Bombyx mori: one gene and its partner. The protein of the gene in region 1 interacts with the protein of each later gene in a pairwise test. Links are inferred from orthologs where the notes say so. Each region holds a gene or a part of one and is shown in the gene's direction. Other genes may lie near its edges.

What was found.
Region 2: the proteins of Rad51 (region 1) and ubiquitin-conjugating enzyme E2 interact in a two-hybrid assay, tested with the Caenorhabditis elegans proteins (2 studies listed by BioGRID). The link is inferred for Bombyx mori from reciprocal best matches to the Caenorhabditis elegans genes rad-51 and ubc-9.

Annotation. Positions count from the first base shown.
Region 1 is NC_085131.1:10,828,523-10,832,934, reverse strand, and holds the start of Rad51 (rad51 homolog), read left to right. Parts: upstream 1-1,536; 5' UTR 1,537-1,732; intron 1,733-2,385; 5' UTR 2,386-2,661; coding exon 2,662-2,745; intron 2,746-3,284; coding exon 3,285-3,484; intron 3,485-3,855; coding exon 3,856-4,003; intron 4,004-4,412. Other genes in the region: kelch-like protein 26, read right to left, coding at 1-117, 663-812, 979-1,086.
Region 2 is NC_085114.1:7,031,853-7,035,224, forward strand, and holds ubiquitin-conjugating enzyme E2, read left to right. Parts: upstream 1-1,158; 5' UTR 1,159-1,325; coding exon 1,326-1,391; intron 1,392-1,462; coding exon 1,463-1,546; intron 1,547-1,670; coding exon 1,671-1,933; intron 1,934-2,157; coding exon 2,158-2,224; 3' UTR 2,225-2,735; downstream 2,736-3,372. UniProt on the Caenorhabditis elegans protein: Accepts the ubiquitin-like protein smo-1 from the aos-1-uba-2 E1 complex and catalyzes its covalent attachment to other proteins with the help of an E3 ligase such as gei-17.

The DNA of each region.
Region 1 (4,412 bases):
AAGAAAGTTCGCTGCGATTGACAATTCTCCAATAGTTGTCAGTGAGTATTCAGAGAGATCTATCAAACCTATTCTCATGTATTGAAGTATCATGTTCATTGAGTATGCATCAACCATCTGGAAGTGGATATAGAAAGAGTAATTTTTTTAATATTCAGTAATTTACAGTTCTTCTTGTTTACAGTCCTTTTTTATTTTTAAGTTACACTATCATATTGTAGGTAGATATTTATTCCCACAGATGTCCTCAAATGGACATAGGCCTCTCCCAAACCACAATGATCGGCCTGCACTGCTTGCGTCCAGCAGATCCCGCATACCTCAATAGGTGGTCTGTCCAACGTGTGGGAGGCGAGGGAGCTAGTGTGGGTAGCCACACTACGTCTACGGTACGTTCTATACATAGAATATTATAAATAGAATAGTTAGCTGTCAACAGCCTACCCTCACCAAACGTTCCACAATGAGGTATGATTGAGGTACCATTAACATCAAGGAATCGCAAAATTATCAATTTACTACCCACTACTACTAGATAATTATGATTAAAAATTAAACATTTTGCGATTATTCATAGAGTTAAATCCATAATTATTGTTTTAATTGTTTGTCATTTTATACATTAATTTAATTTAGCTAACATAATTTATAATTTTCCTTACATCAATTTTTATTTCCTGTCGTTCGTTTTCAATATAGTTTCCACTGAACATTGCGCGAAAATAGTCGCTGTACTCGCACAAAACATTTTTGTTCGCCGTGAATCTCTGATTTTCTATTAAAAGTGTTACTTCTTGAGTGTCCTCCATCTCCTTATTAAAATCCAATAATCATATGTTATAAATGTTCAATAGAGTTAAATCAATTTTATCAAAAAGCTAACCCGCAAAAATTTAAATAAATTCGTTGGCAGTGGGGTACGGTATTCTGTATGTTTATGTTTACCTCATGGAGTTAATAAGTACCTAGTTTACCTACATTCGTGTTTCTATGTTTACGACAACGCAGGGAGCAATTGTCACTTGTCAGTTGCACCCATAGACCAGTGGTTGCACCTAACAGCTGATTTTGAGTAATAGGTTCCATTTTTCAAACTGGAAAGGCGAAGGTATGAAAAGGAGATGAAGTTGATTAATTTAAGACATTAATAAATTAGAATGAAATTAAATGAAACAAGATAATATGGGATGAAATATAGTCTCAACAAAATGGCGGTTATTTAGGTAGTTCCGTTTCACTTTTTGGAAGATACCGAGAAGTTACGTCCAGTAGATTTGTTTCCTTTTCCCACATTTGTGCACTTTCACCGATACTAAATAGTTAATAAACCACCATTATTAAACATTAATTAGAAAACTACCATTAAGTAAAGGTTAATTACAGAGCATAATGTGACTCAGTGACGCACAATGCCGAATTATGCTGAAGCTTAGTTGAGCATTATGCCGCATAATGCGCTCTTGTGCTGTAATTGGAAAACGGCCAGCATGTGTACATCTATGATTGATCTTGACATTTAAGCGGATGTGACTTTTTGGCGGGAACGCGAGGAGTAAAGTTGGGTGATTTGTTTCATTTTGTCTATTTAGTGTTTCTTCAGGTTTAAATGTGTAATAGCAGTGGTTTATTAACTGTTTCATATCTGTAAAAGTGCACAAATGTGGGAAAGTGAAACAAAGCCGCTGGACGTAACTTCTCCGGGTCCTCCAAAAAGTCCACTGAAAAAATCTCAGTAAATGACCACCATTTTTCTGAGATTATATTTCATCCCATATTCATCCCATCATATATTTCATCCCATTTCATCTCATTTAATTTCATCTCAATTGATTAATGTCACAAATTAATCATCTTCATTTCATTTTATTTCACTCCATATGAGGCCTATAAAATCAAAGGCAGCTAAACGCCTCAATGTCGCAAAATGGATTAACAATGGCGCTATCTTGTTTAGTTAGTTGGACACGCTTTAGTGTTTTCATGTTATAACAAATGCAGCTAAATCTCTAACAAATTCAGATCAAAAAATTTATTTTTACTCTGTACTAAGAACTAATAAACGAAGTTTTATCATTTAAAATTCAGATTATTAGTAATATTCTCAGTCTTTATGTGCTTAAAATGTGCTTTAAATTAAAGAATATCGTAGCTATCCGAACAAAGCTATTTCAGCTTCTCAAACCGGGAGTGTTGCTAACACTGGCCTTACCAAGAGCAGTACTTCGATGGATCGGGAGGATCCGTAATGACGTGTTTAGGGCTGATTTTTGCAGTTTACCTGAATATTTGACAGACTTGGATTTAGCTGCCTTTGATTTTATAGGCCTCATATTATCATTTTTCATAAAAATAAGAATATAAACTAAATTAAGACATGACTTAAAGGTTTTAGTTACCAGGTCATAAAATCTCTTAAAAAAATAAGCGGATGTCTTCAGACTTCAGTGTCGACTTTAAAAATAAAAATAGTGATTGAAATTTTAACGCGTATGTTACTTACAAGTTTGCTCTAACAAACAATAAAAAAAAAATTAGTTAAAATTATTTTATAATCCAAATCGTGTACTCCAAAGACACCTAACCTTGTAAAGTTATTTATAAGCAACTGAAGTTTGAATATTTTTAAATGAGCCGGTAATTGTTTGAAAGCCACGGACAATAATGAATACCACTGCTTCAGCAACTACGACTTCTTTGGATGAAGATGCTGACGAATGCGGGCCACAGCTGATCAGTAAATTAGAGGTGACGTCATGTGACAAGCTATAACTTGCTTACAAATATTACTGGATTGAACTGACTTATTGGATACAATGCGCAACTTATACTGTAGATAAATTCTAATTTATTCCATTCTCTTAACTATATTTCTTTTTAATGTGTATATGAAATAAATAAATAAACATATTGGATGATAATAAAGTGCTCCTAAGAATCCTATCTATTTATGCTTAAGTAAATCTACATATCCTGCCTTGGAGAGTAAGATATCTACATTCCAAATAAAAGATCTCTCAAGAAAAGAAAAAACAAGGGTAAAAGAGGGTCAAGTTTATCTGCTCTAAGAATTTTCAAATAGATCTCCAGAAGACACAAAAACGTTCTGTAAGAACAACATGAGTCTATGCTCATATTAAGTCAAATTCTCAGTTGTATTGCATTTGATGCTACTTAATCGTTCAACCTTACTTCATTGCAACATTGTGTACATCATATATATATCTAAATTTGGATTGTGATAATTTGTTTGTTAAATAATAAAAATATGGAATAATTTATTTTAGGGCAATGGCATCACATCAGGAGATATAAAAAAGCTTGAGGAAGCGGGATATCATACTGTTGAATCTGTTGCCTATGCTCCAAAAAAATGGCTAATCACAATTAAAGGGATATCTGAAGCGAAGGCAGATAAAATATTAGCTGAAGCATCTAAATTGGTGCCAATGGGATTTACAACAGCTACTGAGTTTCATCAAAAGAGGTAGGTACCTTTAAAATTATTTATTTATATTTTTTATTATTAATTAATGAAACGCCAATATGGCTAAGGTTAGTACAAAGTTGTGGAAAACATTTAACACATGCAAAGTATGTAAAAAAGCAAAAAAATTAGTACCTTCCTGCAGGATTTGTACCCCGTCTTTGTTACATAAATTGTTATGTCTATGTATCTACCTTAGGCTATAATGACACAATTATTGGACCTGACATAAGGGACACAGCTCAAATCCCAGTATCGAACTAGTAATGTATAGTCATATTCTTGACACAGAAAATAACTGCAGCTAATACTTGTATTAGATTTTTTTAATTAAACCAAATCTACATTGAGTATTGTTTGAATTCTTCCAGGGCTGAAATAATACAACTTACTACTGGTTCAAAGGAATTAGATAGATTACTGGGAGGTGGTATAGAAACTGGTTCTATAACTGAAATATTTGGTGAATTCCGTACTGGCAAAACCCAATTATGTCACACATTAGCAGTCACCTGCCAGGTACAATTGAATTAAACCAATTTGCAATAAAAGTATATAATAATAAATATTAATAATGTATACTATAATGATATGTGATAATGTGTAATATTGCATAAAAGACGATATGTGTAAGTGACTTCATATAAGAGCGGAAGTGAGCGAAGAAATGGTTTATGATAGAGGTATGGTAGGAGAAAACATATTGCGCCAATCCCAGGTTACTGGGAGTAGGGCAGGAGAATGATGTTGATGATGAATGTATAATATAGGTAACGTAACGGCCGTCTGGTGTAGTGGTAAGTGACATGGTCACTACACAAGGGGGTACCTCTAACACAAGTTCTTTACGAACTTATCACGGGACTAGTTAACGTGGTGTGATTGTTAGTAAATAAAAAAAAATAATACTAATAATAAAAATAAAAAA
Region 2 (3,372 bases), on another chromosome or scaffold:
GTTCGTAAAACCTAACCTTCCTAATTCGCGGCAGTAGCACTATCACAAGCTTTTTGCAACAATGACAGCATTTTGTTTGCAGTAAATGGTGGGCTCAGTGGTGGATTTACACTAGGGGCAGTCGCGTAGTCGGGGCAAGTGCCCAGTGCGGCAATTTTTTAGGGCGGCAAAATTTTGGAAGTAAAATTTTTGAAATTAATTCTATTAATTAATCATTTTCTGTTTAATTGATAATACAAAAAATTGAATTCATCCATTATTTGTGAATTATAATTTTGGCACTTTAGGTAAAAATTCATAATCAAAATTATTTAGTCAATTTATTTCCTTGAACATTTAAAATAATAATCGATTTTTCCATTTTCTGGACTTAAAGAAATTTAATTTTTTTTTTCATTTAATATTTATGAGTCACCCTTAGTGCAAAATTTATAATTGTTAGAAAAAAAACAAATATTTATTTATGTTTTTGGAATATATAACATATGATAAAGTTTCTGCAAGAAATTACTTATTTAATTTTGAAAAAAATAGTTATAAACTATAATTTTTGGTAAAATTCCAGTATTGGGGCGGATTTTTTGCCCAGGAGCGGAGTCTAAATCCGGCCCTAAGTGGGTCGATATTTTTACGAGCCGCAATCTAAAATAAAGGTTTACGTGTTAATATAGCAACAGATAAAATATTAAAATAGGTAAAAATAAATTATTAAATACATTTATTTAAATCCTTACCTTTAATTTGCGCCCAAATAGATTCTATGGCATTGCATTGACAATAGTAGGGTGGAAGGCGCATTACATTGTGTCCGGCTTCCTTAGCCATTTCGTCCAATACCTATTTTGGTCTTACAATTTTCGTTAACACGGAGTCATTCCTAAGTCGCAAAAGTAATTTTAATTGTGGTATCTTCATTTGCAAAAAAAGATAAAAGAGAGATTAATTGCATTTTAAAAACAGCTCATAAATATTTGTGTAATTTTTTTGAAACATTTAATTAGACTGAATTTCGGCTATCGTCGTAATTAAGACCCGTTTTTACTGCTAAAATTAAATTAATATTAAATGTCAACAGCAACACTATTAACTTCCTACAGCAGAAAAGAAAAAAAAGTGAATCGATTATTTTCATTTTTTATCTGTAGTCTATACTACAATTTTGTCGACCGCTCTGAAATTAAGGGACGCTATTTCGCGCTTTTTCATTTATTTTTATTGTAATTTCGTTCTAGTTTTAGCTCGATTATAAGTAAAATCTATCGCCCAACATTAAGAATAGCCCTTGATTGAAGCTCGGCTCATAAATCGAGTTATTTTTGTAGAAAATGTCAGGGATAGCAAGTGCACGTTTAGCTGAAGAACGGAAAGCTTGGCGTAAGGACCATCCCTTTGTAAGTTTTTGTTTGTTGAAAACACATTGATTTATGTTTTCGTAAATAAATAAGCTATTCATCTATTTCAGGGTTTTGTCGCGAGGCCTATGAAGAATCCAGATGGTTCATTGAATTTAATGACTTGGGAATGTGCGATACCTGGTAAAAAGGGGGTTAGTATTTCTATATCGTGAAAACTTCTTGTTTCTTATTGATGCAGTTTTAAAGTTATTGAGTTTAAGCATAGTAAATTACGGTAGTAGAAGTTCTAAAACTATAACCGGTTTTTCTTTTTAGACTCCATGGGAAGGTGGGCTGTATAAACTACGTATGATCTTCAAAGATGATTATCCATCAAGTCCTCCAAAATGCAAATTTGAACCACCACTGTTCCACCCCAATGTGTATCCATCAGGTACGGTGTGCTTGTCACTGCTTGATGAAGAAAAAGATTGGCGTCCAGCAATCACAATAAAGCAAATTTTGTTGGGTATTCAAGATCTTCTCAATGAGCCTAACGTAAAAGATCCAGCGCAAGCTGAAGCCTACACAATTTATTGGTAAGTTAAACATAAACATTTTCAATACCCGTATTGCATTTAAAGAACTGTTATGTTTTATAATGTTTAATTTTGTAAAAATTGAATTTTTTTGTAATATATGTATTTGTTATATTACTGAAAATATATCACGAAACTATCCACATATTGTGATACTAATATTTAATTACTGTGACCTACAAAACTTGTATGCCTCAATATTAAATAAAATTTTATTGTTACAGTCAAAATCGGCTAGAGTATGACAAGCGAGTAAGAGCGCAGGCACGTGCAATGGCTGCTGCTGAGTAAATATCAGAATGGGACAATGGAGCGTTAATGAGCTAAGCCATTGCCTAAAAAGCAGTATAAATGTGAAGACAGGAGATTAAAACAGCAACACTACGCTATTTTGGAGATTGTGCTATAACATTATCTTCATGGTATTTTCCAGTTCCAAAAGTATTTAATCCACACAGTACGCAGTGATGGTTTAAACTATAGATTTAAGTAATTTTGAAGTAAATGCAAGTTTTTAATAACAGACCAAATCAACACTATGCTAATGTTAGTTATTTTAATTCTGGAAAATTTTGAAGCCATTATGAATTCATCATTTTATGGCTAACTTGTATTTATTTATTTGTTAAGTTAATAACAGAAATGTTAACAAGCAAAAAGCATCAAAGATTTTAATTACAACCGAATATACAAACATGTTGCTGTAATTCTCAAAATATACGGTTACATTTCGAATCTATGTTATTTTAAAATATTTTTGTATCTTATGTTAGACTTAATGAACAATAAATATTTAAATTCTACAATTTACTGTGTATTTTTAAGTTAAAATTTTTTCAGATTATTTTCACAATCATTCACTATTCAAAGTCAGCGCTTTCTAATCAGCCGTTCAGAGTAACTATTTGGAAAACAAATAATTCATAACTTTATTTATTTATCAAAATGGTTAGTTGACATCAGATATTTCATTTCACATGCTGATATTCATTAAAGTTGGGAGTTAAACAAATATTTGTTTTATTCCAGCTTAAACGCAATCATTATTTAGTTTGATGACAGATATAATTAAAAATTAGCTACAAAAACCTCCATCTAGTAGTGAATAGGCACCTCAAAATACAAAAGGTGAGAGACAGGCGAACTATACGATCACGACCCAACTAGTTTTAAGTAATAACTGAAACTATTTAATATGGTATTTTCTATTATTAGAACCCATTGAACTTGCCAAATAATGCCAGGACTAACTTAGAGATATGAGTTCGAAGACTTGATTTTGTTATACGAGTTTAAGGGACGCCCACCCCATAGATTATACACTTAATAACCCATTTTCAAATCAACAACCAATTAGTCCTTTTCCGCAATTTCGAATATGCGACGGTCCCTCAACATATCGCCGCGCACTAAAATGCAGTTTTCTAGACAGTGTGGGT